Callithrix jacchus: one gene and its partners. The protein of the gene in region 1 purifies or fractionates together with the protein of each later gene. This does not show direct contact. Links are inferred from orthologs where the notes say so. Each region holds a gene or a part of one and is shown on either strand. Other genes may lie near its edges. The genes, in order: EIF3F, EIF4G1, DDX3X, EIF4E, PRRC2B, EIF3B and EIF4B.

Evidence for each region.
Region 2: the proteins of EIF3F (region 1) and EIF4G1 purify together in Homo sapiens (affinity purification with mass spectrometry; 3 studies listed by BioGRID, with this or other methods). This does not show direct contact. The link is inferred for Callithrix jacchus from reciprocal best matches to the Homo sapiens genes EIF3F and EIF4G1.
Region 3: the proteins of EIF3F (region 1) and DDX3X purify together in Homo sapiens (affinity purification with mass spectrometry; 3 studies listed by BioGRID and IntAct, with this or other methods). This does not show direct contact. The link is inferred for Callithrix jacchus from reciprocal best matches to the Homo sapiens genes EIF3F and DDX3X.
Region 4: the proteins of EIF3F (region 1) and EIF4E purify together in Homo sapiens (affinity purification with mass spectrometry; 3 studies listed by BioGRID and IntAct, with this or other methods). This does not show direct contact. The link is inferred for Callithrix jacchus from reciprocal best matches to the Homo sapiens genes EIF3F and EIF4E.
Region 5: the proteins of EIF3F (region 1) and PRRC2B purify together in Homo sapiens (affinity purification with mass spectrometry; 3 studies listed by BioGRID and IntAct, counting the BioPlex papers as one, with this or other methods). This does not show direct contact. The link is inferred for Callithrix jacchus from reciprocal best matches to the Homo sapiens genes EIF3F and PRRC2B.
Region 6: the proteins of EIF3F (region 1) and EIF3B purify together in Homo sapiens (affinity purification with mass spectrometry; 14 studies listed by BioGRID and IntAct, counting the BioPlex papers as one, with this or other methods). This does not show direct contact. The link is inferred for Callithrix jacchus from reciprocal best matches to the Homo sapiens genes EIF3F and EIF3B.
Region 7: the proteins of EIF3F (region 1) and EIF4B purify together in Homo sapiens (affinity purification with mass spectrometry; 3 studies listed by BioGRID). This does not show direct contact. The link is inferred for Callithrix jacchus from reciprocal best matches to the Homo sapiens genes EIF3F and EIF4B.

The regions. Positions count from the first base shown.
Region 1 is NC_133511.1:73,845,152-73,849,799, forward strand, and holds the start of EIF3F (eukaryotic translation initiation factor 3 subunit F), read left to right. Parts: upstream 1-1,334; 5' UTR 1,335-1,350; coding exon 1,351-1,732; intron 1,733-4,648. UniProt on the Homo sapiens protein: Component of the eukaryotic translation initiation factor 3 (eIF-3) complex, which is required for several steps in the initiation of protein synthesis.
Region 2 is NC_133516.1:13,295,418-13,299,583, reverse strand, and holds part of EIF4G1 (eukaryotic translation initiation factor 4 gamma 1), read right to left. Parts: intron 4,017-4,166; coding exon 3,840-4,016; intron 3,635-3,839; coding exon 3,535-3,634; intron 1,547-3,534; coding exon 1,434-1,546; intron 858-1,433; exon of another isoform or gene 745-857; intron 624-744; coding exon 531-623; intron 327-530; coding exon 260-326; intron 1-259.
Region 3 is NC_133524.1:42,179,987-42,184,152, reverse strand, and holds part of DDX3X (ATP-dependent RNA helicase DDX3X), read right to left. Parts: intron 3,616-4,166; coding exon 3,483-3,615; intron 2,596-3,482; coding exon 2,437-2,595; intron 2,354-2,436; coding exon 2,254-2,353; intron 1,878-2,253; coding exon 1,742-1,877; intron 1,087-1,741; coding exon 1,001-1,086; intron 873-1,000; coding exon 774-872; intron 651-773; coding exon 490-650; intron 1-489. UniProt on the Homo sapiens protein: Multifunctional ATP-dependent RNA helicase. The ATPase activity can be stimulated by various ribo-and deoxynucleic acids indicative for a relaxed substrate specificity.
Region 4 is NC_133504.1:98,583,218-98,587,383, forward strand, and holds the end of EIF4E (eukaryotic translation initiation factor 4E), read left to right. Parts: intron 1-2,035; coding exon 2,036-2,150; 3' UTR 2,151-3,872; downstream 3,873-4,166. UniProt on the Homo sapiens protein: Acts in the cytoplasm to initiate and regulate protein synthesis and is required in the nucleus for export of a subset of mRNAs from the nucleus to the cytoplasm which promotes processes such as RNA capping, processing and splicing.
Region 5 is NC_133502.1:180,101,700-180,105,289, reverse strand, and holds part of PRRC2B (protein PRRC2B), read right to left. Parts: intron 1,674-3,590; coding exon 1,592-1,673; intron 363-1,591; coding exon 228-362; 3' UTR 1-227.
Region 6 is NC_133503.1:56,669,317-56,673,482, reverse strand, and holds part of EIF3B (eukaryotic translation initiation factor 3 subunit B), read left to right. Parts: intron 1-858; coding exon 859-937; intron 938-1,745; coding exon 1,746-1,884; intron 1,885-3,141; coding exon 3,142-3,267; intron 3,268-3,772; coding exon 3,773-3,850; intron 3,851-4,166.
Region 7 is NC_133510.1:66,526,019-66,530,184, forward strand, and holds part of EIF4B (eukaryotic translation initiation factor 4B), read right to left. Parts: intron 2,442-4,166; coding exon 2,228-2,441; intron 1,490-2,227; coding exon 1,434-1,489; intron 699-1,433; coding exon 584-698; intron 289-583; coding exon 216-288; intron 1-215. UniProt on the Homo sapiens protein: Required for the binding of mRNA to ribosomes. Functions in close association with EIF4-F and EIF4-A. Binds near the 5'-terminal cap of mRNA in presence of EIF-4F and ATP.

The DNA of each region.
Region 1 (4,648 bases):
TTGGCTGTTCACCTGTGTTTTGGGGAACTAAAAGAAAGAATGCATGTCTATGTAGAGCATTTTCAGGGGAGCAGGATCATGTGAATTCTAATAATGGAAGATTTCTCCAAGGAGAAATCAACTCTTGGGCATAGAATCACGGCTAAGAAGTTCAACTTCACCTATCTACTTGCTAGCTGGATGCTAGGACTTGACCCAATTAAGGGAGTTGATGGGTTTTTGTTTTGTTTTTACAGGCAGATGTTATCAGCCCCATTATACCAAGAAGGAAATTGAGGCTAGGAAAAAAACTTGTAGATTGTCGCTAGTTACACAGTGGGTTAGGGTCAGAGCTCCCTCCTTCACATAGTGATGATAATCGCTATGACCTAATAACTACTGTACATCAGGTATGTGCTAAAAGCTTGACAAGGCAGTACCTCATATAATCTCCCAAAGTACAAACTAGTGTATACAGCTTACAACTCTACTTGAATGTCTAATGGATATCTCAAAGGTGACATATCCAGAAATGAAATCAGGATCTTTTCCCCAAAACCTGTTCCACCTACAGCTTTTGCTCTCAATTGATGGTGACGTCATCCTACTAATCGCTCAGTACAAAAAAAAATTGCAGTCCTCCTTGACTCCTCTCTTTGACACCTCACATACAATTTTTCAGGAAACCCTATTGTCATTACCTTCAAAACAGATCCATAATCTTCCTGCTTCTCAGAACTTCTATTGCTACCAGCCTGGTCCCAGCCATCATCATCTCTCACTTGGATTACCTAGTGGCCTCCCAGCCGGTCTCCCTGCTTTTCCCTTTCTCACCTTCCTCTTCCTAACTCCCCCCACTCCCCAGACTATTCTCAAAGCAGCCGGAGAAATACAGCTAAGTTCTCCTTCTTGCTCATTGCAGCCTCAAGCTCCTGGGCTCAAACAATCGTTCTGCCTCGGTCTCCCAAAGTGCTGGGATTACAGGGGTGAGCCACCGCGCCCGGCCTTAAAATGCTTTTTTTTAAGGCACTTTGATTTCCATGATCTAAGTCTAAAACACGAATTTCCACCACCGCGCTGCTGTCTGGTTCCACCTGGCGGCGGCTGCACAAAGTGTTTCTCTTTGAACGCCGTGCCAAGTTTACCCGGAACTACTTAGCCCAGCTCTCCCTGAGTGCTCCTCGGGCCAAAAGCAAACAGCACAAATTCCGGAAGAAATTACCAACAGCGGGACCATTTAGCGCTCCGGCTGTAACACCAGTAACCAATAAACAAAAAGCTCTAGTTCACGTGGTGTATAGTCAGCCTATCAAGCTCCTGATATTCCTGAATGCCCTCGTTTCCGCTCCTGTCGCATTCTTTCTCGACAAGATGGCCACGCCGGCGGTATCACCAAGTGCTCCTCCTGCCACGCCAGCTCCGGCCCCGGTGGCGGCCCCAGTCTCGGCCCCAACCTCAGTTCCAGCCCCAGCGCCAACGCCAGCACAAGCTGCGGCTCCGCCTTCCGCTGGGACTCCAGCCTCATCCTCAGACTCTGCGGCAGCAGCGGCTACGACTGCGGCTCCTGGCCAGACTTCGGCCTCAGCGCAAGCTCCGGCGCAGACCCCAGCGCCCGCTCTGCCCGGTCCGGCTCTCCCAGGGCCCTTCCCCGGCGGCCGCGTGGTCAGGCTGCACCCAGTCATTTTGGCCTCCATTGTGGACAGCTACGAGCGACGCAACGAGGGTGCTGCCCGAGTTATCGGGACCCTGCTGGGTGAGTGGTCATAGAAAGTTAACATTCTTTACTTTCTCCCACTTCTCATTTATCTCACTTCCCTATCTCATTAATTCTTTCATTCTTGGCGTTCTTTCCTCCCATCCCCAGTGACCTCTTAATCTATTTTTCTGTTTTGTCTTCTGCTGTGACTTCTCAAGTGATTTGCTCCTCTCCTCTCTCTTCTCTCTTCTCTCTCCTGCCGGATTGCTGTCACTTTGAGTGACGTAAAATAACAAAGAGTAATTGTGTCATTTGCTGAATATTTTATGCCAGTGGTTTACATTTTTGAATGTTCCCCACAGCAGGTTATGGCAAGTATGATGAGCCCCATCTGCCAAAAATGAGTGCACATGCTGAGTGGGAAGTCAGGAACCCTTGACTCCCTAAATCCAGTGACCACGTATTTCTGCTTTATCCACCGACTAAATGTCATTGTTTTCCAAGTATTGACAGAGTTTTCTAACCAATTGGCAAAGGAGTGGGGACATTTGCAAAAAGGCATTCCTCCCAGCAAGTAAACCGGTTTGGCTGGAACCCATTTGGGATTTTATAGTATTCTGCTGTCCTAAACTTTTGAGCCTGATTCTCTGATTCTCAGCATACCTTAATATTAGTACCTAATGTGAGAAACCCTGTTCTCCCATTTTCCATTTGGACACAAACTATTGTATTATCTGTTTATATCTCTGCCCTTAATTTTCAGGTCAAAGAATAACCCATTCTCTGCTTGTGTTCCAAATTTGGGGAATAGATACTCTGTATTAAAGTAGTTTGTAAAATGAAAAAGCACGAAAGAGGGATTGTTGATAATTCCTCTCTGGAGACTATACTGATCCCATGAAATCCATCTCCATTCCATGTTAGTTCCAGATTTTTTATTTATTTTTTAGTAGAGACAGGGTTTCTGCGTGTTGGTCAGGCTAGTCTCAAACTCCCAACCTCAGGTGATCTGCCTGCCTCGGCTTCCCAGGGTGCTGGGATTACAGGTGTGAGCCACTGCACCTGGCCAGTTCCAGATTTTAAATAGCTTTGTGAATCCACTTTACTTACAAGCATCCTTTCTCTTTCATACTCTTGAACATGTACTGGTTCTTACACCATAAAAGACAATTGATATATTGCAAAGCAGACAAGATGTGTAAGCAGACTCCACACAATTTTAGCCATGTGACTTGACGCAAATTACCTAAAATCTGTTCTGTCAGGATCTACTTTAGACTTAGTCTTCGTGAGAACTAAATTAAAAACTTCTGACTATGCTGGTACACATTAGGTACAGCTATTAGTTGCCATTCACCACATCAGGCCTGGACCGACCCAATACATGCCAAAACACATTTTCTCTCCTTTATCTATTTTTGACAGTATAGCATTTTACAGAAACTTAAATTCATATCTTCTGAACGTTGCCTGTCTTTTCTCAAACCAAGCCTTTGTGTTCTCTTTGCCACAGGTGCCTTCCTTGCTGTCCCTCATTTATTTAACTTCTGCCTATCTCCCAGGTTCCCAGGAACAGCATTAAGTGCCAGTCCTCCATCCCATACCTGGACCCTCACTCCATTCTTAACCTTCCACAGCATGATGGTGTTCTGTAACTGCGCCCTGCTTTGAGCTTCTGTAATAAATTGTTTTTCCTCACTGACCTGGCACTCAGCAAATACTTACTCTTTTGGTTACACTGTCTCATTTTCCAAGCTCACTAGAGCTATTTAAAGAGACAGTTCGCTACCCACAGTTTATACTTTAGCACCCCAAATGTTCCAGTGATCCAATCAGACCAGCTGTAATCTAATCTAGAGCTTCAGATCTTCTTTCAGACTGGAATCATGGTACAGTGCTATAGGTGTTATAGGGGCAGTGCTTCCAGAAGAATAAAGAATAGATTCTGCTTGCTATAAACTAAGAGTTTCCTTAGATATTAATTCACAAAACATTTTATTTGTCTAAATGAAGTCATTGGTGCTTTTTTTGTACCATAAAACTGTTAGGTATTTAGAATTCAAAGTGTAGTAAGGTAAGCTCTCCTGTAACCTTAAACTCAAGATAGAAATATACTCTTAAATGCAAATAACTAGAATGTAATATAATAAATGTTCTAATAGAAGGGTGTCATGGTGGCATGGAACTACGGAAGACTTAACTATTTCAGAAGGTTAGGGAAAAGTTCACAAAAAAGATGGTGTTTGAGCTGGGCATTAAAGCAACTACAGGAAGTTAAAAAGGCCTGATAAGCCCACTATCTGAAACATTCAGTATTACAGGAATGTAGGTGACAGGAGGTAGAGCAGGAAATGAAGCTAGCAGAGGGCAGAGCCCTAAGAAGTATTGAATAATTACAAGTGTAAAGTGCTGTGAAGGAGAATTACCTGGGTCTCTGAGAAGACAAAATGGAAGTGTAACCTCATTTGATGCTCTTTGGGGAGGATCCTGAGCATTTCAGCTAACACTGAATAGAAATTAGAAATCACTCTGACTTTGGGAGGCTGAGGCGGGCAGATTGCCTGAGCTCAGGAGTTCGAGACCAGCCTAGGCAACATGGTGAAACCCTGTCTCTACTAAAATACAAAAAAGAAAAAGCCAGGCGTGGTGGTGTGCACCTGTAGTCCCAGCTCTTGGGGAGGCTGAAGCAGAAGAATTGCAAGAACCTGGGAGGGAGGTTGCAGTGAGCTGAGATTGCACCACTGCCCTCCAGCCTGGGCAACAGAGCGAGACTCCGTCTCAAAAAAAAAAAAAGTCACTCTGGCTGCTTTGTAGAGCATGGATAAGAGACAGGCATGAGCTGGGCATGGGTACCAGATAGCAGCTATTCTAGTAATAGGGAAGCACTTGAGAAATAGGGATAGATAGGAAGTGGGTGAGTTGAGAGATAGGAAATACAGTTGATAGGACTTGGTGTGATCAGAAGTGAGCAAT
Region 2 (4,166 bases), on another chromosome or scaffold:
ACTACAGGCAAGTCCTTCACTGCGGCTGTTCCCAACCTCCCAGCCAAGGCATTCCCAACTTGACACCCCCCCCATCATCTTTTCCCACCTAAGCTATACTTCCATTTTCATCCAAAATCCAATTCACCCTCAAAATTCCACAACCTGAAATCTAAGTCATTCTTCTCTGGTACCCAGTTCAAGACACTCAACCACCCCAGCATTTAAACTGTCAACATTCCTTTTCCACATAAAAGCTCCGTCCCACCCTCTTACTTACCTGGCCGGACAATGACAGCAACCTGGGGCGTCTCCCCATTAGCTTGAGGCTCCAGACCGCCTCCCGTCTGCAGGACACAAAGGGTTACCAAGTTTGCACTGAAGAGTCCCAAAACCCTTCTTTACCAGAGCCATTTCTACTTTAGCTCTGCCTAGAAATCCAGGAAAGCAGGGAAATCAATCCCTTAGTTGAAAGAAAAGATCAAGGGACTTGGGAGTCCAGGGCAGAACAGACATCCCAGCCAGGGTATCGCTCAGAAAGCAGACAGTACCTGGGGAGGGGTGGGGGTGGAGGCAGTGCGGGCCCCAGACATGATCTCCTCCGTGATATCCTTTCCTCCTTGGTTTGGATCTCGAATTCGGATCTGGGGAAAGAAAGCTATGGGATGAGTGGGAAGCAGGGGGAGCCCACCTCTCCACCCTGCCCCACACTTAAGACTCTAGGCCAACTCCCCAGCCCCCACTGGGAAGCAGGTGGGTGGATACCAGAAAGCCCCTGAGTTCCACTTTCAGCCCATCTGGCTGCTCTTGTAGTCCCTGACCTGGCTCCCACCCTTCAGAGACTCTTGACCTCACAGAGCAGCCCTGAACATCACAATGCCCCTCCCTCCCTCATCCCTACCCCACTGGCAGTCCCCAAGTCAGAGGCTGCATGCCCTGGGGCCCAGGACCCCCACCTAGCACCCAATCGGCTCACTTGTAGCTAGTGTGCCTGATCTCTGGGGGCAGGGCCCAGATCCAGTAGGTGGAGCCAGGGTGACTCAGCGGCTTCCCCAGCTCTGGCACCCTATTCTGGGCACCACGCCCAGGGCTTGAGGACTGAGCAGAGGCGGAGGCCTTGAGAGCTTCCAGGACTAGGGTGGGTGGGGGCTGGGGCCACAGAAAACAAACCATTTCCAAGGCAAGCCACCAGAAACCCAAAACCAAGCATACTTCTTCCAACCCCCAGCACCCAGGTCTCACAGGAACTTCCTCACTAGCAACTTCAGTCTTCCCATGACCTGCTTCTATGGTGAAATCTTAGAATCTCAATCAAAAGAACCCGAGCACTCCAGACCCCATTCTCGGCCCACTCCCAGGTCCTTCCTCCTCAAGTCACTGTGCAAATGTCCCAGTAGCACCTGACCTTGATTTTCCCCTTCCCAGATGTCCCAGAGCCCCTTGCTGCTACTCACCGTCTTCCGCTCCCTCTTGGGAGCAATCTGGGGTGGCTGGTTCATCAAAACTGGGGCGGGGGCCACACCAGTGGGAAACTGCTGCACCCCTTGGGCTGGATAATAGGCGCCAGCTTGGGGGAGGGGGAACAGAGAAGAATGGAGGTAGCGTCAGGACCCAAGCATACACTAATGCCTGCTTGAACACCTCCAACCCCAGAACCTCTCATCACCCACAGCCGGCCCCTGGCCCTGCCCTGCCCTCCTCCTCCAGGGAATTAGGTGTCTGTCAAAGCTGGGGAACCAGTCTAAACTGCATTTACAAGAATTCCTAACACTGACACACATACATACACACACACCCCCCTTGCAGGCAGGCACTCTTTCCCCACCACATGCCAGCAACCAGGAGGATTTATGTCTGTCCTTCTACCGTACGAGGTACTCTGGTGTGTTGTACACACACTCTGAACCTGAAACAGAAGCAGGTCTTTGGCTGGGAATGAAAGAGATGTGCCAACCCTGTTCCACTCAACTTCAGTCTAGTTCCTGTCTCCAGCCCTTTAAAAAGGAGCAAAGAAACAAGGTAACATTATGAACTAGGCTCGGGATGAAGAAAAATTAATTCCTTAAAGCAAATTATCTCTTAAGTGGGGTGCGTCTTTTTTTTTCCTTAAAAAAAATTTTTTTTTGAGACAGAGTCTCACTCTGTCGCTAGGGTGGAGACCAGCGGCATGATCTCAGCTCACTGCAACCTCCACTTCCCATGTTCCTGCAATTCTCCTGCCTCAGCCTCCCGAGTAGCAGGGACTACAGGTGCCCACCACCACACCTGGCTAATTTTTTGCATTTTAGTAGAGACGGGGTTTCACCATGTTGCCCAAGCTGGTCTCGAACTCCTGAGCTCAGGCAATCCACTCACCTTGGCCTCCTAAAGTGACGGGATTATAGGTGAGAGCCACCTAGCCTAGCCAAAAAAATTTTTAAGGCTGGAATACAGTGGCACAGTCTTGGCTCACTGCAGCCTCCATCTCCTGGGTTCAAGAGATTCTCTTGTGTCAGCCTCCTGAATAACTGGGATTAAAGGAGTGCACCACCACACCCAGCTAATTTTTATATTTAGTAGAGACAGGGGCTGGGCGTGGTGACTCACACCTGTAATCCTAACACTTTAGGAGGCTTAGGCGGGCAGATCACTTGAAGCCAGCCTGGTCAACATGGTGAAACCCTGGCTCTACTAAAAATACAAAAAATTAGCTGGGTGGGGTGGCACACACCTGTGCCACTACACTCCAGTCTGAGTGACAGAGCAAGACTCTGTCTCAAAAAAAAAAAAAAATCGTAAAATTTAGTAGAGACGGGGTTTCACAATGTTGGCCAGGCTGGTCTCAAACTCCTGACCTCAAATGATCTGCCCACCTCGGCCTCCCAGAGTGCTGGGATTACAGGTTTGAACCAGCATACCCGGCCCCCGCCTTAAATTTTAAAATAGAGACAGGGTCTCACTGTTTCCCAGACTGATCTCGAACTCCTGGCCTCAAGCAACCCTCCTGCCTCCCAAAGTGCTAGGATTACAGGCAAGATCCCTCGCCCAGCCAGAATGCATTCTTCAATTTCATCCCTCAGTTCCACTTTGACAAGCAGAGTGCTTTGTTTATATTTTGCATACATATAAACAAAAACATACATGTATGAGACATTCATACTCAAAATTTTTCCTGATAGGTGATCAAAAAACTTGGAAGCCACTGCCATAAAGAACAGACTAATCCTTTCCTAGAATGTAAATAAAAGGTAGCTACAAAAACCCCCCAAATCTGCGGTACATGGGCTGTCACCCGCGGAAGTAGTGTCACAGGAAGAGCCCACCAACAGCCCTGAGGCCAGCGCCCGGTCCTGCATTCCCTGTGGGGAAGACTTTAACTCTCTCGGCAACAGAATCAAATTTTCTCCCCACAATCAACACCAGTTAAATATTAAGCACCAATTCCTACCACCTATTAATCTTATCATTTTTACACCAAAAGCCAAGCCTAGGAAGGGGCTTCTGCTTTAGAAACAGTAGATGAGGTTAGATGCTCCCTTGGACTGGTTCTCACCTCTTACTCCCTCCCCTGCTTACCGTAGGTCCCAAATTCTGTCGGGCTTGCACCTGGATAGAAGCCTGGGGCTCCTGGCTGCACAGGGTACTGCTGTGTCGGGACAACATACGTGGAACGCCCCTGGTCAGGGAGGGGGAGAGAAGGAGTGGAGGGAGCTATGAGTACCATATCAGACTCCAAAAAATAACATAGGTCAAGACAAGACAAGCCAACTTTGGGCAATGACCAGAAGGAAGTCCCACATCTGGAAAAGGGATGGAACTGGAGGGTCAGGGTAAGGGAAGTGAGGGTCTGTGTCTTCCAGCCTCCAAGCCTCCAGCCTCACCTGTCCAGGGATGTAGTAGGCCCCCTGGGAGGCTGGGTAGGAGATCTGGGAAGGGATCATCATTACTTGGGATCCAGCAGGGTACACATGGGCAGCAGGGCCAGGGCGGGCAGGGGCTGCACTCTGCACTCGGGAGGCTGCACTGCTCGGGGGCTGGGCCCGGCTAGGGTAGAAGTGCTGTCAGGAGGGAGGAAAGCAGTTGGCATTGTAAAGAGGAGGAAACGGACAGAAAACAGCCACTCCACAGTGTCTCTATGGCCTGGAAAGAAGCACTGTGGGCTTCAGAACGTGGAGACAAATCCTTCCAAGACCACTTGACTAAATGGC
Region 3 (4,166 bases), on another chromosome or scaffold:
CACAGCACAGGATTCTTGCCATTACGTAAGTCATCCAAAATCACAAAGCCAAATTAGCTCTTCCTAAATATGACTGTCCCATGAGCTGGTCATTCTAAGCCTCCACCAAGATGTTACTGATTTTTCAACATTAAAATTACAACAAACAAGCTTTTCGTAGAAGTTACATGACTGAAATATGTCACTTCTCAATCTTACAATTGGTCAGGAATTCGAGACCAGTCTGACCAACATGGAGAAATCTTGGCTCTACTAAAAATACAAGAACTAGCTGGGCACAGTGGCACATGCCTGTAATCCCAGCTACTGGGAGGCTGAGACAGGAGAACTGCTTGAACCCGGGAGGCAGAGCTTGCAGTGGGCGGAGATCATTACTATTGCACTCCTGCCTGGGCAACAACAGCGAAATGGCATCTCAAAAAAAAAAAAAAAAAAAAAAAAACAAAAAAAACCCCACCACCATCTCAAAGAAACAAACAAAAAACATACTTGCAAAAGTCTAATCCAATCTTTCCTCTTTCCATCATATCCACCAGACGTCCTGGAGTGGCTACTAACAAGTGGCATCCACGTTCCAAGTCTCGAATCTGCTGTCCAATATCAGCACCACCATAAACCACGCAAGGACGAACTCTAGATCGGTATGAAAACTGTAAGCAAAAAAATGTTATGAACTTCAAAGTCAAAATTTTTACACTATCATTTTTACATGATCATAAAACATTTAATTAGAATCAATGAAAAAGCTAGTAACCACTGAAACTCATACTTACTTTTCTGGCTTCCTCGTAGATCTGTACTGCCAACTCTCTCGTTGGTGCTAATACCAAGGAGATTGGGTATTGTTTGCGGCGCCCATACCTTCCATTTTCCTAAGAAATGAGTTAATTTTTAGGTTAACTCCACCTATACTTTTGTAATTTACAGATTACACTTGAAAACTGTTTTTCATTAGACTGAAGTTCTACAATAATTTCCCATTTTATAAAGAAATGTCTACCTTCATGGCCCTCAAAGCCTCGCCTGGACCATCTGAATAAATCTGACTCAAGATGGGCAAGAGAAATGCTGCAGTTTTTCCAGACCCTGTTCAAAAACAAACAAAACAAACCCTGCTCATTACTTTTGAACAGACATTGGTAGATGAGTGTCCCCTGGCCCTTTTTTGAGATGGAGTCTTGCTCTATCGCCCAGACTGGATGGAGTGCGGTGGTGCGATCTTATTAGCTCACTACAACCTCCACCTCCCAGGTTCAAACAATTTTCCTGCCTCAGCCTCTCACCATCATGCCCGCGTAATTTTTGTATTTTCAGTAAAGACAGGGTTTCACCATGTTGGCCAAGCTGGTGTTGAACTCCTGACCTTGTGATTCACCAGCCTCAGCCTCCGAAGTGCTGGGATTACTAGCATAAGCCACTGTGCCCTGCCCATGACAGTGTTTAACTGCCTTATTACTAGTAATTAGGACTTTTAGTTTATGCTCAAATTAAGTTTTCCAAAAAGTGGCTTCTTTGGTCCATCTATAAGACAAGTCAGCAAACAGACTATTTTTGTAAATAAAGCTCTTAAGGAATACAGCCATATCCAATAATTTACGTATCATCTATGGCTTCTTTCACACTCCAATAGCAGTGCTTGAGCAGTTACAAAACCACATGGCCCATAAAAACCAAAATATTTTATTATCTAGTCCTTTATAGAACAAATATGATAATGTTTACTCTTATCGGCTGAGCTTACCTGTTTGGGCACAAGCCATCAAGTCTCTTTTCTCTTTGATAATAGGAATAGCATGCTTTTGCACTGGAGTTGGGCGAGTGTAACGAGTAAGCTCAATGTTTCCCATGATAATTTCTCCCATCTCAACATCACTGAACTGTTAAGAAATTCAATGGGGTTAGAAATGCTATCTAGAGCCATTTTTTGTTTTATGATAATAGAAATAACCAACTAACAGCTAATTTGTAACTCAGTTTATAGTTGCTTTAAGTAAAATTATCATATTATACTTTGAGAAAAATGAATCCCCAGGCTTTACACTGGAGAAGACTGTGGGTTCTTCCTGTGTTTGACCCATTTTCTATTTCAGGTAATAAATTATTTCTAACGGTGACACTGAACTCACTCCTTTTCCACAAACCTATGAAGCCTTTGGTCTACATATGACTTTATGAAGCCCATCTCACATTCTAATGTACCATGAAAACATTTACATCTCCCCGTGTCTTAAAAAGTCAAGCAAAAATACTTACACTTTCAATATGGGGAGGACAGTTGTTGCCTGTTGCCTCAACTGGAATGTCATCGTATTTCTCAAAATTAATCCCAGTGTTGCCTCCAGAAAAGAGTTCCCTCAAATCAAAAGATTGGTAAATTCATTTGTTATACTAGCTAATAAAGCTTCATCACAAGTAACATACATTTCAAAAACTTACTGTTCCAAGCGTTCACTTGGTGGGAGTGGTTTTGACCAATCATCTTCATCTGATTTGTCACACCAGCGACTGTTTCCACCACGTTCAAATTTGCCAAAGCCACTTCTGTCACCACGGCTGCCAATGCCATCATAATCACTCCGTCCACGATCATCAAATCTGAACAGCACAAGTGAATAATCAGAATCACATCATTTAACCATTATCAGATTTCTACCCCTGCTCTAGAACTGTATCTGGAGACTTAAGTTATGGCTAACTACAAAGATGTCAACAAGCCAATTCTGAGTTATTTGACAAATAAGGGTCTCTAACCAATACCATTTACTGATATTTCTAAAATCATTTCTAAAATTAGTAACCTTTATATCTCTATAAAGTTGTATAGCCTAAAAGGTCTCATAGATGCCACAATTAAGAATCAACGACGTTTTTGGGTTAATTCCTTCACTTCACAGGTTAAAAAAAAAAAAAAAAAGGATCAAGGTTTTATCTGAAATGGGCACACAGCTCACAACCTTCATTTAAAGTGCTCATTCAAATATATTTAGTGGTGGGGAAAAGAAAATAATACACCAAATATCAATCATCCTAGTTATACTAAAGGACAATTCACCTGTGTGACAGATTTTGGATAAAAGGTAGAAAATAATCCTTACTTGAACTAAGATGTTTTTAGAATTTTAGGCCTGTTTGCGAAAAATCAGGACACAGGACTAACCACAGCTATTAGGCACGTGGGGTCAGTTCACCATACTTGCATAATAAAAAAATCCAAGGTGTTTAAAATTGTTATAGAGTCCACAAAAATCCCAACCAAATTAGGCCATTCACTAGATGTACTAAGTAGAACATATAAAACTCGAGAAATAAAAAAAAAAAAAAATTGATTACACATTATGCCAATGACCATATTCCAATTTTCATCTAATTCAACTTAACAGGTTCAATGTAGCAAAAGCCTCTCACATCCAAATAGGTGGTCAGAATAAGAACTTATTAAACTGTTACTCTACACACCTATAAGGTGAGAAGAAATCACTTACCTTCCCCTTGATCCACTTCCACGATCACTGAAGAAGCTAGACTTCCCTCTTGAATCACTGCGAGATCCAAAACTGCTATATGCATCCTTATCTTTGCTAGAACTCCACCCTGAACTGTCTTTATCGTAGAAACCTTCAATTAAAAAAACACAAATCCATTTTATTAATGAGAAATAGGAACCATGTTAAGGTATTATCAATCTTTCTGAATTTGAAGGCCTCCACTGACTATCTTATCTCTGTGGGCTTGAGGTTCAATCTCAAGGTATTCCTACCATGGCACTGTAAGAGAACCAAGATTTAGAGCTGGTTTTCTTGTCACCAAGATAATGTTTTTAATTACTGTCCACTGGCCAGGCAGTGGCTCACACCTGTTAATTCCAGCACTTTGGGAGGCTGAGGTGGGTGGATCACCTGAGGTCGGGAGTTTGAGACCAGCCTGACCAACAAGGAGAAACCCCATCTCTACTAAAAATACTAAATTAGGCAGGCGTGGTGGTGCATGCCTATAATCCCAGCTACTCGGGAAGCTGAGTCAGGAGAATTGCTTGAACCCGGGAGGTAGAGGTCATGGTGCACAGAGATTGCACCACTGCACTCCAGCCTGGGCAAAGAGTGAAACTCCGTCTCAAAAAAAAAAAAAAAAAAAAAGAAAAAGAAAATCCTGTACACTAAATCAAGCAA
Region 4 (4,166 bases), on another chromosome or scaffold:
GATCACAGGCCTGAGCCATGACAGCATTTTTTGTAGAGACAAGGGTTTTGCTGTGTTGGCCAAGCTGGTGTTGAACTCCTGGCCTCAAGTGATCTGCCTGTCTCAGCCTCCCAAATTGCTGGGATTTCAAGCGTGATCCACCGCTCTCAGCCATGTATTTTTCTGTGAACATAATTTATTTCTAGATCAAAAGGTATAGGGATTTTCTACATTTCATGCTGTATAGGGTTCACTAAGAGAAAGGAGTTGATCTGTCATCATATTTTAATGTTTCTGCCAGCATCAAAACCCAATTGTGGAGGTTTTACTTTATTTTAAACAAGAATTAGAGAAATTAATAATTTTTTTTCTATGGAAGTTTTGTATTTTTGTCAATATTAAATGCTTTTGAGTCTATATTAAGACTTCAGATTTTCAAAGAAAGATTCTTTTTTTAACCCTTCCAATTTGCGTTAGTCTTGCTTTCTGGTGTTTTCAATAATTAAGTATAATTCAAAGGAATGCATTGCATTGTAATGCAAATTTAATAATTATCACTTTACCATAAAATTTCTTTTTAATACTTTATTTTAGGGGGAAGGTGGTAAATCTTTTGGAAGGTATGAAAAAACTATCTTAGTATTGTGTTGGAGGATTTAACTCCATTAGTATGTTTGTTCCGTGATTGATTGATTGAGACAGAGTTTCATTCTTGATGTCCAGGCTGGAGTGCAGTGACGCAATCTAGGCTCACTACGACCTCCACCTACCGAGTTCAAGTTTGCCGCAGCCTCCAGAGTAGCTGGGATTATAGGCATGCACCAACATGCCCAGCTAATTTTGTATTTTTAGTAGAGATATGTTGGTCAGGGTGGTCTTGAACTCCTGACCTCAGCTAATCTGCCCGCCTCCGCCTCCCAAAGTGCTGGGATTACAGGTGTGAGCCACCACGCCTGGCTATTCCTTTATTTGTATTTGATATTGCTTATTTTTGAATTTTTGCTATATTCCTTCCCTCCTTTTTTTTTTTTGAGACAGAGTCTCACTCTGTTGCCCAGACTGGAGTGCAGTGGCACGATCTCAGCTCACTGCAACGTCTGCCTCCTGGGTTCAAGTGATTCTCCTGCCTCAGCCTCCCAAGTAGCTGGGACTACAGGCGCATGCCACTACACCCAGATAAGTTTTTGTTTTTAGTAGAGTTGGGGTTTCACCATCTTGATCTCCTGACCTTGTGATCCACCTGCCTTGGCTTCCCAAAGTGCTGGGATTATAGGTATGAGCCACTGGGCCAGCCTTATTATTTTCTTAAAGATTCAAATTTTTAAGGTGACATATGAAGCTCTCTTCCTCTGAAAACTTGTCAGCCTTATCTCATATTCACTTTACTTATGAGCCATAGCCACACAGTCTAATTTTTATTTCTCAGCTCTCAGATGTGCTCATTCTCTTAACATTATCCTTTTGACCTCATGATATTTAAAGGGGTGACTTCTCTAATTTTGTAGATGAGATTAGAATCTCCTTGTTATACAGTATCACAGCCCCTATATTTACTCTTTGGCACTTGTGACAAGTGCCATTTTGTTCTTGGAAACGTGTGCATGAGTCACGTCTTACTTGAAAATTAGATTGTCAAGTTCTAAATTAAATAGATTAATTTAGAACATAATTTCTAACTATTGCATAATTTCTAATCTATGCAATATGTTCTAAAAAAATATTGCATTTTTAGTGGGCTGGGTGTGGTGGTGGGTGCCTGTAATTCCAGGTACTCGGGAGGCTGAATCGCTTGAAACTGGGAGGTAGAGGTTGTAGTGAGCCGAGACTGCGCCATTGCACTCCAGTCTGGGTAACGAGCAAAAATCCATAAATAATGTAATTAACCAGGAATATTGCAAAAATGGAAGAGTAAATTATGCTAAAAGAGTAAATTATGCTAATTTCCTGTTGTACTCTCAAGTCTGTATTTTATAATATAAAGACTAATAACACTAAATTTTTAAATTTATTTACTTGTGAATAAAAATTAATGGCTACTTTTTTTTTTTTCTTCTAGGAGGGTATACAAGGAAAGGTTAGGACTTCCTCCAAAGATAGTGATTGGTTATCAGTCCCATGCAGACACAGCTACTAAGAGCGGCTCCACCACTAAAAATAGGTTTGTTGTTTAAGAAGACACCTTCTGAGTATTCTCATAGGAGACTGCGTCAAGCAATCGAGATTTGGGAGCTGAACCAAAGCCTCTTCCAAAAGCAGAGTGGACTGCATTTAAATTTGATTTCCATCTAAATGTTGCTGAGATATAAGAGAAGTCTCATTTGCCTTTGTCTTGTACTTCTGTGTTCATATATATATATATATTTTTTGGCTAGAGTGTCCACTATCCCAATCAAAGATTTACAGTACACATCCCCAGAATCCATAAATGTGTTCCTGGCCCACTCTGTAATAGTTCAGTAGAATTACCATTAATTACATACATTTTACCTATCCACAATATTCAAAAAACAACTTGACATTTCTCTACTTTACAGGAAAAAAATTCTGTTGATGTTCTATTGTATGCAGGAGCATATTTTGCTGTTTTGAAAGATTATGATGCATACAGTTTTCTAGCAATTTTCTTTGTTTCTTTTTACAGCATTGTCTTTGCTGTACTCTTGCTGATGGCTGCTAGATTTTAATTTATTTGTTTCCCTACTTGATAATATTAGTGATTCTGATTTCAGTTTTTCATTTGTTTTGCTTTTGTTTTTTTCCTCATGTAATATTGGTGAAGGATCCAGGAATATGACACAAAGGTGGAATAAACATTAATTTTGTGCATTCTTTGGTAATTTTTTTGTTTTTTTTGTAACTACAAAGCTTTGCTACAAATTTATGCATTTCATTCAAATCAGTGATCTATGTTTGTGTGATTTCCTAAACATAATTGTGGATTATAAAAAATGTAACATCATAATTACATTCCTAACTAGAATTAGTATGTCTGTTTTTGTATCTTTATGCTGTATTTTAACACTTTGTATTACTTAGGTTATTTTGCTTTGGTTAAAAATGGCTCAAGTAGAAAAGCAGTCCTATTCATATTAAGACAGTGTAAAAAACTGTAAATAAAATGTGTACAGTGAATTGTCTTTTAGACAACTAGATTTGTCCTTTTATTTCTCCATCTCTATAGAAGGAATTTGTACTTCTTATTGCAAGGCAGTCTCTATATTGTGTCTTTTGTGGTGTCTTCCATGTGAATAGTATAAGTTTGGAGCACTAGTTTGATTATTATGTTTATTACAATTTTTAATAAATTGAATAGGTAGTATCATATATATGGAATTAAATTGATGTGGCTATCTTTGTTTTTTTTATAAAGTAAGGCACAGTCCTTCAGTCTTAGGTAAATAATGTACTCTCTTAATATGTTAATACTCATGAGAATTGGGATCTGACGCATCACCATTTGATTAGTGAATTGAGTTGTTTGTATGTAAGTTTCAAAATGATAGTATAGGGAAAAGACAGGTGGTGGGGATGTATGCATTAAGAATTTTGTTGGTGTTGCAATCTAAATCGAATGGAATAAACAGGTATTAAGCCATTTATAGTGATAAATTGTTGTAGTATGGTATTCTGTAAACTCGAAAACTTGATCTACTATTTGTAGGTATCATTTGAAAACAAACTTGAAAATATTTTGTACATAGTACATACTTGTATAGTGCTGTGAAATGAAGTATGGCTATCAGACCAAAGGATAAGCCAAGCTCTAGGTAGCCGAATGGAAATTACTAGTTTGAGAAGAAAATTTGTCTTTGAATGGTGACTATGACTTAATCATTTTAAAACTGATAAACTTGACAAAAACCATGTATGAAATAAACATGAAATTAATAGCACTGATTTCATTGTAGAATTTTAAAATAGTTTAAGGGGTACCACAGGTTATTACAGTACTCTCTCAATGCCACAAACACCTCTTGTTCAGTATTCTGAAAATACTGAATCTTTTGTTTTTATTATAATCTCAGCATGCAGTACATAATATATGCTGGTTAAACTTGGGTAATTGGTTAAGCTGACTTACTGTCTGTGTTGATATGTATAGTTCTGAGCACTTGAAGAGCTTGCTTAAAAGTGATGGTGGTGCCGGGTGTGGTGGCTCACACCTGTAATCCCAGCACTTTGGGAGG
Region 5 (3,590 bases), on another chromosome or scaffold:
TTTGCTTTTTTGTTTCATAATCAAAGCAAGCGGGTCAATGCCATATATCCACAGGTGCAAGCTGGTTGATGACAGAGCTTTCGGGAGTGGAGAGAGGAGGGAGGTCTCTCAGTCCAGACCAGGCGTTTGGACGGTGGATCTGGTGAGGCTCCCGAGCGTCAGCTGTGTCAAGGTCGCGTGGCGGCACCGTCCCCAGTGGGGCGAGGCGAGGTGGCAGCCAGGCACCGTCAGGCCTTACTCTCCTCCACTTTGACAGCCCGAGGCTTGATCGCTCCGGTTCGCTTCATCTGGGAGGCAGCTGAGGGGGCCTCCTGCAGCTTCACGGCTCCCAGGCTGGGTTTCTCATCCACTCGTTGTTTTGCCTTTGGACAGATCAACGGGAAAAACAAAGTGACCCTGATGCTGAAACGTCCGTTTGGATACATAGCTCCCACCACTCCCTTCCTGCTCCTGAGTGCAGGGAAAGCTCCCCTAAGTCATCCATCCCTTGGTTGAAGGACCAGACTTACAAATCCCCCTCGTAGTAAGGCAAGTGGCGCAACTGCCGTCCCTGATCCCTCCCTATGAGCCCCGAGTGCAGTGATTCGGAGAGGCAGGAAGACACCGAGTCCTCCACAAGGAATTCCGCGATGGCACACCCAGGGCGGAAGCAGTTCTAGTCCCAAGGCCAACTGGAAGAACCTTTTCAAATCAGTGCACCTCCTGCCCCACAAGCAAAAAGCCCTTTCGAGTAGATCCAAGTGCCCCACTGTACACCTTGGGGGCCCTGTCTGCTATGGCCCTAGGCAAACTTGCCCCCCTGCCCCAGATCTTTGGCCTCAATTCAGCCACAACTCCCACTCTATAACCTTGCCCTGGGGCCCCATTCCCAGTCAAGGCTCCCCTGGTCTGTGGCTCTATATGGGGGTGGGATGGGAAAGTCACAGAGCAGCCAGCACATCTGCCCCCTCCAAGTCTGAACTCTGGAAGAAAGCTTTAGAAGCTTATTCCACACAATTCTCATGACCCCCAGGGGAACCAATGCGAGCAATCACTTCCCACTCTACCAGCCAGGCACAGTAACTGAAACACCCAGGTCTGAGGGGCCTAAGCTCTGAGCCCCAGCACATTTTAGAGATTAGTGAAGAGAATAGTGCCTGCAGGGAAAGACACTGAAATGTACTTTTCATTATCAAATGGGAAAACTTAATTTCACCTGTGATCCCACCCAGCCAAGACAAAGACAAGACACACCACTGACTTGCGCACCCCAGCTCCTAGAGCTGACCCCCAAACCTAGCCGAGTCTCCCAGGGCGCCTCACAGCCCCGACCTGCCAGGGCTGGTCCACCTTCCAGCGTCACCTCCTCAGAGGAATCGGCATCCTCCCTTCTCTGCAGGACAAGGAAGGATCCAGACGCCCGTCAAGAGGAGAAATGCCTTCGCCAGGAGGGACGCGGGTGGCCCAGCTCCTAGTTCCGTGCTCTAACTGCTAGGACATGGCTCTCTTTAGACAAGGAGCACTCAGATAGGTTGGACAGTCCCTTCTCTTTTGGTGCTTGGAGACGGGCCTAAATGTCCAGGGCTGAAGGGTCTGGAAAGCCATCTTCTACCTGTTGCACGTAGTGTCCCTGCACAGAGCCCATGTTAACTGCTGATCCAGAGGGCTTCCCACTGGGGCTAGCAGAGCTAGGCCTGAAAAAACCAAAGGCAGGGGTTGAGAATACACAACGTGTCACCACAGAAATGGAGTCAAAGACTAGCACATGGAGGAGGCGTGAGGAAGGAAGGGCCTGGGCCAGAGGTGCTCTCTCTGGACAGTCTATGGGCCTCTTGATGGGGAAAAAAACCACAGACCTAAGACAGCCAAGAATGCAGCAGGGCAAGGGAGTGGCTGTCACTGACCACCGCGGCACCTCCAGGACAGAGCTCAAGGAGACACACCACAAGAGAGGGAGGCTGAGTCCCTGTGCAGGTGGGCACGGCTGTCCTGCTAGGCAGAAAGGGACACTGGCCATCTCAGCCTCTGGACCAACACAGCGCAGTGCCCCAGACAAAAGGCCTAGAAGCCTGACACTGAGACGGAACCGTGCTATTGCTCTAGTCTTCGCTTTTCAGAAGAGGGCGTGGAGGAATAAAAATCTATGACATGCTTCTAAATGTGTTCCACTGACCACTAGTTAGTTCCCAGGGATGTTAATTAGGGGTTGTGTGGGAAAAAAATTCTGCCGTCAAAAAGCCTAAGTGCCATAGGCACAGAGTTCAACAGGACTGCCCACCCAGGCCTGCTCAGCCTCTGTGCTGGCGAGTGCCTCTCCCGGTAGGCCGCCCCAGAGACAGCACACCCCCGAGGACCTGACCAAGGAACTTTTTTTTGCAGGGCACATCTCAGCAGCTCTAGTTCCAGAAACCTTTGGGAAACATTACAATTATAGCAATTTCCCCAACCCTCCTAAACACCACTGAAACAAAGCTAACAGTTAAGGCTTCTACTTTCTAAGTATTCTCCAAGGAATAATCTGCTGCCTTTCCTATGTCTACATAGACACAGGCAACTCTTGTCCCATGAGCTTCTGTTCTCTGGGTTTTGCCTTTGAGGAAGGCTCTGTAGCCAGAGGCTGCTGGGATCTGCCTGTGGCAGCAGCAGGACAGCATGTGCTCAGACCTGCGGCCGCCTTCCTCCTCCCAGCTCTGCTCCGGGGTGGGTGCTGCTGTCCAGCTATCTTTTTCACACAGTCCTGATGTTTTGGTCTATGTGAAAGACATGGCAGGAAAACAAATACTAAATACAGAAATAAATGAAGCCAGGAGAGTGAAAATAAGAATAGAAAAGATGGAATGGGAGGAAAATCCACAAAAACCCCTTTCTCTGGAAATGGAGGAATAAGAGTGGAATGCCGTGATGGAGGCGGCGGCCTGACAGGCAAAGGGCAGCGGAGCAGAGGGGTGCAGCCAGAGCAACTCGCAAGCACAGAGGCCTGGCTTGCAGAGCACTCCTCAGGCCCGCAAGTACCTTTGTATTCATGGGGTCACCTCATGGCGCATGCAGTAAGGGTGTTAACCTCTCACAGGGTACCATGCGTCAGGCACGTCTGTTTCACTCATTTTGCAAACACAAAGCAGTCTCAGTAATCTCCCACATGTAACAAGGGTCGACTGACTATACAAACCCTTGGAGCACAGGGCCAGAGCGTGCTGCCTTCACACCTGCACAGGGGGAGCAGAGGGACCAGATGCTCTTGCCCGAATCTGACAGAGCCACCTCTGTATCCCGCTTAGGGGACCTGGGATGGTTACCGGGGGTGGAGACAGATACGAAGGAAGCAAAAAGCGGGTGCTGGTTTGTAGTGTGGAAGGAATGACCCCACAAGCCCAGTAATAAAAGTCCCCTGGCAGAGGTCAGAGGGCAAGTCTGGGGAAAGAGACACCGGGAAAGGCCATGCTCCTCCCCTTGCTGGGATGCAGCCCTGTGGCCAGTGGGTCCTGTTTTTAGGATCTGATGGGAAGTCACATCAGTCCTGATGCCTACTAAATGTCAGCAGTTCCTTTTCCTACCTTTCCAGAAAGCTCCCCAATCCAGAGCATCTTACTGTAATGATTAAAACCCAAACC
Region 6 (4,166 bases), on another chromosome or scaffold:
ACTGTCCAGACAGAGGCTTGTATCAGTTTTCTAAGTCATAAGACGGCAAGCAGAAGTACCATGTACCTTCCAAACACGTATGACACGCCTCTCCTGAGGTTTGGCATAGACTCTGTGGCCACTGTGTGGGTTCTATCCCGTGCCTGTGACTGCTGGGGTTTTTTGTTGGTGCACGTCTGAGACCCCTGCCCCTCCTGGGGTGTGTCTGCCTTCCCACATCTCCTCCCCTCCATATCCTGCCCCAGCTTCTTTTTTGGATGTACCGCAGAGGCTAAGGAGAGAGAGGTCGCAGGTCATCAGCTCTGTCTGAGCAAGCTCTGAGGGGGGACTTGAGCCCACCCCGGCTGACTTTCACTTCTCACTGCTGCCGCAGCTCCGCCCGAGGTCGTTTCCGGAAGTAAGACTTAGTACCTGGAAAGATGATGACTGTAGACAGTTTCAACAAGCATACAACTTCTCCAAAGATGTCTTATCGCTAGGAAAGTGGCTTTGGTCTTCCAGGGTCACACGTCTCTGACATCCTCTCCCCGTTGGGGTCCCTACAGCAGTGAACGTTTGCTGTAAAGGGAATTCTTTGTCCATTTACTTCAGGAAATAGGAAAATAGTGTTGCTTTGAAATACCCGTGCCCCTTCTTCCCCCCCCCCCCCCCATTTAAAGTATGGATTATGACTTAAGGGGAACTTAGCGATGGATTTTGTAAAATTGTTTTCCGAGGTGGCCGGGCATTCCCAGCTGTGCTCATGTGGGTAGTGTGACCCACGGCCAAGCCCCCCCAGCCTTGACTGCCCTTGGTTCGTTACTTCATCCTGGGGTGGAAGCGCTCACAGCTCGTGACAGGCACTCTGTTTCCTTGCAGAGATGTTCGACAAGCAGCAAGCAAACACCATCTTCTGGAGCCCCCAAGGACAGTTTGTGGTATTGGCGGGCCTGAGGAGGTGGGTGTCCGCGCGCTGAGCCTGTCTGCCTCGTGAGTAGTGCTCTGCCTGCTGCGGTGAAGACCCCTCAGGCACCTGCACCCTGCACTCTGGCTCCTCCTCCCACTTCTTGGTAGAGGGAGTGTTGCACACTGAAAGGATTTACCCCCATGTCAATGGATGGGACATTATTGAACCTTTGCGGATCCATGACACTCGAAGACTAAGGCCAAGCCAGGGCAGATGGAAATAAGCACTCGTAGATGCTTTTGTGAAGTGACAGGCTGACCAGTCTGTGGGTTGTCGTTCTTTTGTGGTTAAACAAGTGCCTTCCAGCAATCCATTTACCCCCCTGCCCCCACCCCAGGAGGTCAGTCACCTCTCTTCTAGCAGGAGGGTATTAGTTACACAGCTGTGAGGCTGCCTTACCTCTGTGGTTGGTGTCACGGTATGGGTCTTAGCTGCATTCCAGCAGTGTGTCAGAATTGTGGAGAAGCTTCCAGCTTTCTGCTCTGAGTTAAAAGAATATCCTTTTGTCACTGCTCTTCCTTGCTTCATTGTTGACACTTGCTACTGTAATTTTGGAGGCTTAGTTAGCCTCAGATAACATTTCCTGTGAAAATAATAGTGATGGCAGACATGTGTAATACTCATTGCACACTCTGAAAGCTGTGATTTGTAAGTCTCACAGTGGCCGCCAGAGGCTGTTGCTTGTTTCCATGTTGACGCCAAGGCTGGCTCCCTGGGGACCCCATGCAGTGCCTCTCAGGAGTGGGATGTCGGGAAGTATGCGTCTCTGTGAACCTGACAGTCCTTTTTGTCTCTGCAGTATGAATGGTGCCTTAGCGTTTGTGGATACTTCGGACTGCACGGTCATGAACATCGCAGAGCACTACATGGCCTCTGATGTTGAGTGGGATCCTACTGGGCGCTATGTCGTCACTTCTGTGTCCTGGTGGAGCCATAAGGTGCAGGCCCGAGGGCATAGCTTTGGCTGTGGATAGAAGCAGGGAGTGCTGGCTGGCTGCTGACTCTGGTGCTGTCCTGGGACCTCAGGGAGGGGCACCAAGCCTTGGTGTTTAACAGAATCCTCAGCTGGTGTTTGTGGCAGGAGGAGGAGGATTCTGGGTTGTAGAAGAGGTGGCGGGAGCTGCCCCTGCTCATGGTGGGGGTGTCTTACCCAGGGACCCCTGAAAGGGAGTGTGAGTGTGTCATGCACGAGTGTTTTTCTTCGGAGAGGAGTCATTTTCTTTAAAGCCTGAACAGTTCCATAACCTCAGACATGAAGATCTTCTCTTTGGAGTCAGTGGTTGAGTCTAGCTGCCACCTTACCCACAAGCTCTTATTCGAAAACTGCTGATTAAGTTTGCCAAGGACTTCTTGTATTTAGTGATTTTTTGAAAGTTGGTGGAGGTACTGACGCTTGAACTGTCCATGCAAACAGAGTCTGTCTATGAGATCAAATTCAATCAAATTAGGGTAATTTTATTGAATGAGATACTGAACTTTTAGGAATACCAGCTTATCAAATATTACAACAAGTGTCTACACTTAGAAATCTTCACATTTAAATCAGGGTGTGTTGATCACGGCCTGGGTCCAGGTATGTTCATAAGTCACTGTGGTGGGGCCTACCTTGACGCCACTTTAGGGCAGGCACAGTGGCTCACACTTGGAATCCCACCACTTTAGGAGGCAGAGGCAGAAGAATCACTTTAGCCCAGGAGTTTGAGACTAGCCTGAGCAACATAGTGAAACCCTAACCCCATTAAAAGAAAAGACCTTCTAAGCTATTGACCACTCTGCTTGAGGTATAAACATTTAGCTCCCACAATGCCAGCATGTCATAGGGAGTTTATCCTGGGTGCCAGTGAAGGCGACGTCCTTCATGAGAGAGTCCTGCTATGAAGAGAGTGGAACCGAGCGGTGTGTGGTGATGCAGTTAGCTTACATCTGGCACAGGGTTCTTGTTGCCAGCAGGAACGCGTAGGCCTGTGCTGTGATGAGCGCTGCTCCAGCTACTGTGTGCCCTGCACTCTGGGTTGATTACATATTTTGTGTCTTTAATTTACTGACCACCTCCCCTGCTGAATGTCAGCTCAGCAAAGGTAGAGCTTTGTTTGGTTCACATGTGTCCCCGATATCCAGGACCTTGTTCAGCAAGTGACATAGTCACTGTTGTGGCTCTGCTGACCCGTTTATGTCCTGGTGTGTCCCTGCCCTAGGTGGACAACGCGTACTGGCTGTGGACTTTCCAGGGACGCCTCCTGCAGAAGAACAACAAGGACCGCTTCTGCCAGCTGCTGTGGCGGCCCCGGCCTCCAACACTCCTGAGCCAGGAGCAGATCAAGGTAAGTATCCCCCACCCTCAGGTGCAGGGCATGTGGAGGTGATTATGGCATTGAAAGGAAAAGTGGTTAGGGTGGTGACTGGGGGGTAGGCCCTTTGAAGAGATGAGGGAACAGTGAAAACTGAACGGAATAGAACAGCTTTAGGATAGTTAACCGAGGTCTTCAGCTTGTTGAGGGAAGTTTTACATGAACCCGAGGGGTGGATAAAAAGATGGCAGGGGCTATTAAAAAGTCCTGGTGGGATTAGAAAGCGACTTGTCTGGGATTTACATAATGATGGTAAAATAGGCCGATGGTATTAAGTCAGAACGAAGAAGAGGGTTAAATCCCAGGAAGAAAGTCAGTCTCAACATGAAACATGGAAGAGAGCAGGTGCGAGCACACCTGGGGCACAGTGTTCTGTTAATGACTCTGGATGTCACTTCATGTCGGCAACTTTGAAGATTGCGTTTGTGCTTCTTGCTTTGAATGTTAAATCCTGAGTGACAGTAGTCTTTTGTTTCAGCAAATTAAAAAGGATCTGAAGAAATACTCTAAGATCTTTGAACAGAAAGATCGTTTGAGCCAGTCCAAAGCCTCAAAGGTGAGCCTTGTTCCCTGAAGGGAGAGCCATGTTGCGACATCCACCATCACAGCAAAGGCAGGCTCACGTCAGGGCTTTGAGGGGGCTGCTGTGTGTCTGCTCAGAGTTGCTTCTGCCCCGAAGACACTGGTTCTGTTTTTCTCCTAGGAGGGATGCAGTGGGGGACTGGGGCTGGCACGAGGACTTGGAGTTGGGGCCTCACTGCTGCCCTGTGGGCGGGGGCGGTGTTGGGAGGAAATGAGAATGAACAGACTGCCATTCCTGCCTGAGCACCTCCATATGCCATTGTCCTGGCTCTGTCCCCGGGTGTGTGCTC
Region 7 (4,166 bases), on another chromosome or scaffold:
GAGGCAAATGTGATCTCACTGTAGTCTCACACCACCTCTATACCTTGCAGAAGGATGAGAACAGAGGAAGGCAGAAACCAGAAAAAGGCTAAACTTTTTTCACTATTTCCGATAAAGACCAATGCCTTATTTCCAACCACTTTGTATTTCCAAATGTAAATAAGTCCAATGGCAAAAAGTATTCTAAGAAATTGGGAGCAGCCTTTAATACTTACGGAAGCTGGATTTTCCTCAGGTTTCTTTGGCTCAGGTGCAGATCTGGAGTCTTGATCCTTTTTGCCATCTTTCCTGCAGAGACATAAGCATAAAACCACGTCTTTAGGAGAAGACTCGCCTAATACAAACATGTATTACAAGCATGCAGTTTCAAGGCACTCAACAGGCATCTCTAGTCAATAGTCCTCGTTATCTAGATGATGTATTACTTCTAGATTCTCAGAAGCTTAACTGTCTAGGCTGGCTGACTCCAGTTTGCTCACAATGAGAGATCTGGCAGTGCTTTGAGAACCAAGAACTTAACTTCTTAATTACAAAAGCATGTGGGTCAGAGGAAGGATGATAATGAGAACGAGAACACACATACCGATCTGACTCCTTCCAGTGGTCTTTGTTCACTCCGTCTCCTGGACCACGGCTGGAGTTCCCAGTTTGGCCTTTCGGGACATTCATCCCATCTATTTTATTTTCATCTGCTAGAGCAGTAATGCAAAAAATAAAAGGCAAGTAAAATGATCAACGTCCCTCTCCTAAGATTTCTCTTAAGCTGAAGAAAACTGCCTGCAAGTACTGAGGGAAACTACCTTGGCCCCATTCCAGACTTCCTTCCTGAAGCCCTTCTTCCCACGTCCTCTATAGCACATAAAACTACAAAAACCAAACAAAATCAACTAAAAAGTTCCATGCAGGGATATGCCATCCTGAAAAGCAGGCTGGAAATAAAGACTGTGACGCTCGGCAGTGACCTTGGCTCTGCTGATGGTGACATTTCTAATCTGGACTGAATGTCTTAGTTTCCGATTTTTTTCTCCTCCTTTCAAGGAAATGTTCTACCAGGAAAGGGCACTTTCTCCAAAGAGGCCACTACTCCCTCTACCACTGCAACCTCCGCCTCCCAGATTCAAGCAATTCTCCTGCCTCAGCCTCCCGAGTAGCTGGGAGTGTGCCACCATATTCGGCTAAATTTTTGTATTTTTAGTAGAGATGGGGTATTTGCCATGTTGGCCAAGCTGGTCTCGAATTGCTGACCTCAGGTGATCCTCCCACCTCGGCCTCCCAAAGTGCTGGAATTACAGGTGTGAGCCACCACACCCAGCCAACCCCAGAACTTTTAACACAGTATCAGGTGCAAGACACATGCTCTTCAAAATCTAATTTTAGAGGCCTTTTTATTAGGCCTCTAGGTGAAAAACCCATTTCCCACACTATGAGCTCACCTTTCCTGGCTGGTCCTTCCTCAGATGGTTGAGCTGGAGCCACTTTGCCCCCACCACTAGAAGGAAAACACAAAATCACATTCATCAGTTGTTTCAGGAAGAAGGAAGTCAAGAAACTTATAATCATCCTCCAAATGCAGTAAGCTTTACAGAAAACAAAATCATACTCAATGTTATGAACATTAAAATATGGGAAAGAAAACAATGAAAGCAGTAATTTAAACACTAAATGCCATATGCGTTCTAGTCATCACATCATGCAGGATTAGTATTGCTATTTTCTTTTTTTGAGACGGAGACTCACTCTTGTTGCCCAGGCTGGAGTGCAATGGCGCATCTCGGCTCTCTGCAACCTCTGCCTCCGAGGTTGAAGCGATTCTCCCTGCCTCAGCCTTCCAAGCAGCTGGGATTACAGGTGCCTGCCACCATACCCGGCTAATAGTATTGCTATTTTCTTTACAAATGAGACTTAGAGAAATTAAGGCAAGTTACCCCCTACCACACTGCCAAGATGTGGCAAAAGGGAAGCCTCTGACTTGATCTGGGTGGCATTAGTACTCCCATCATAGCTGAATTCAAGCTACCAAAGTGATGTCAACTGCCTATCAAAACTCCAGAAAATGGAACATGTGGGTCTTAAGACATGCCAGTTCCGGCACACTAAGAGAACAAATCCAGCATAACTTATACGATGCTATATAATGCTGGTATCCTGTTAAGGCATCTTCCATCATTACATCACATTATTTAAGAATGTGCACAGCTAACCAACTACTGCTTCCAAGCTGACTCACCTTGTAGGGGATTGCTGCTCTGTGTCTGAGCTCTGAGATCGAGCAGGAGGGTTAGAACTTCGCTTCACCCAAGCATTCTCCTTTGGTGGAGGGGCTGGCATTACCTTTAGGGGCTGATCAGGTTTGGGAGGTTTAGAAGTTGGAGAGTGACAATCTTCCTCCTTACTGAGTGTTTCATTTTCTAGAGACTTCTCACTCTCTCTCCTTCGTGCATCTGTGAAGCCAGAGTGAAAAGAACAAATTATCAGGATGCAGATGCTCATGCATCTACCAGAATCTCAACAGTGTGGAAAACGGTGCACATCAGTTTTGGCTCGCAAAGACGGATTTATCCCTAAACCAGTGGTTTCCAAATATTTCCGAGAACAAGGTTTACTGATGCACAGAGAAATAGGAAAAATAATAACCATGTATACATCTTAAGGGATACCCAGCCATTTGACCTTTTGAGGAATGAGTATCTTTTACAGCCTGTCTGCATTCTCAATGTTAAAAGTGTCTTGATGTGGAGAATATACATATACAAAGAGGACCTATGATGAAACCCCAAATTCTAGTAACCATCGCTCAACTTCAACTTAAAACTCATCACAATAGACAATGATACAATTGCATTTATGAAAAACCACCTACTGGCTGGGTGCAGTGGCTCACACCTGTAATCTTAGGACACTGGGAGGCCAACTTGGGGTGGATTGTTTGAGCCTAGGAGTTTCAGACCAGCCTGGACAACATGGTGAAACCCCAGATTCAAAATAAATAGAAAAATTAGCTGGGTAGTCCCAGCTACTAGGGAAGATGAGGTGAGCTGTGATCATGTCGCTGCACTCCAACCTGGTTGATAGTGTGAGACCCCATTTCAAAAAAACAAAACAAAACAAAAAACAACCTACACTTTTTTTTTTTTTAAGGCAATAAGTATCTTCTTAAAACGAGAAGCCTCCTTTTAGAGTCTGAAGCGGGACTGCTTGAGGCCAGGAGTTTGAGACCAGCCTGGGCAATGTAGCAAGACCCCATCTCTACAAAAATTAAAAAAATTTAGCCAGGCATGGTGGCATACACCTGTCATAACAGCTACTTAGGATGCTGGGGCAAGGGAACTGCTTTAGGCCAGGAGTTCAAGGCTGCAGTGAGCTATGATGATACCACTGCACTCCAGCCTGGGTGTAAGATCCTGTTTTAAAAATAAAAAACTAGAAGGTTGTTTCATCAGATTCTATCTTTTTTTTTTTTTTTTTTGAGATGGAGTCTTGCTCTGTTGCCCAGGCTGGACTGCCGTGGCACAATCTTGGCAGGTTCAAGCGATTTTCCTGCCTCAGCCTCTTGAGTAGCAGGATTACAGGCGGCTGCCACCACACCCAGCTAATTTTTGTATTTTTAGTAGAGATGGGGTTTCCCCACGTTGGTCAAGCCGGTCTCGAACTCCTGACCTTGTGATCCATCCGCCTTGACCTCCCAAAGTGCTGGGATTATAGGCATAAGCCATCCCACCCAACCTTCTTTCTACATTTTACACGTAAGTTCTACAGAAATAGGTATATATCAACTCAAAAAAAGTATATATTATACTTTTACTTTGCCACAAAAAGGGGCATAAAAACATGTTAGTAATTTCCAGAAAACTCCTACAACACCTGAGTGAATTTCCAAATCACTTCAGTCTTGAGCTATGTTTTGAAATGCTCAAGTACATGGCTGGGTGTGGTGGCTCATTCCTATTATCCTACCACTTTGGGAGGCTGAGGCGGATCACTTGAGCCCAGGAGTTCGAGACCGGTCTGGATAACAGTCAGACCTCATCTTTATTTAAACAAACAAACAAACAAACAAACAAAAAACCACGCAAGTACAAATCAGTTTAGAGGAGGAAAGACCTTAAAAAAACATCACAGTGACCAGCCTGGGCAACATGGGGAAACTACCTTTACAAAAATTAGAA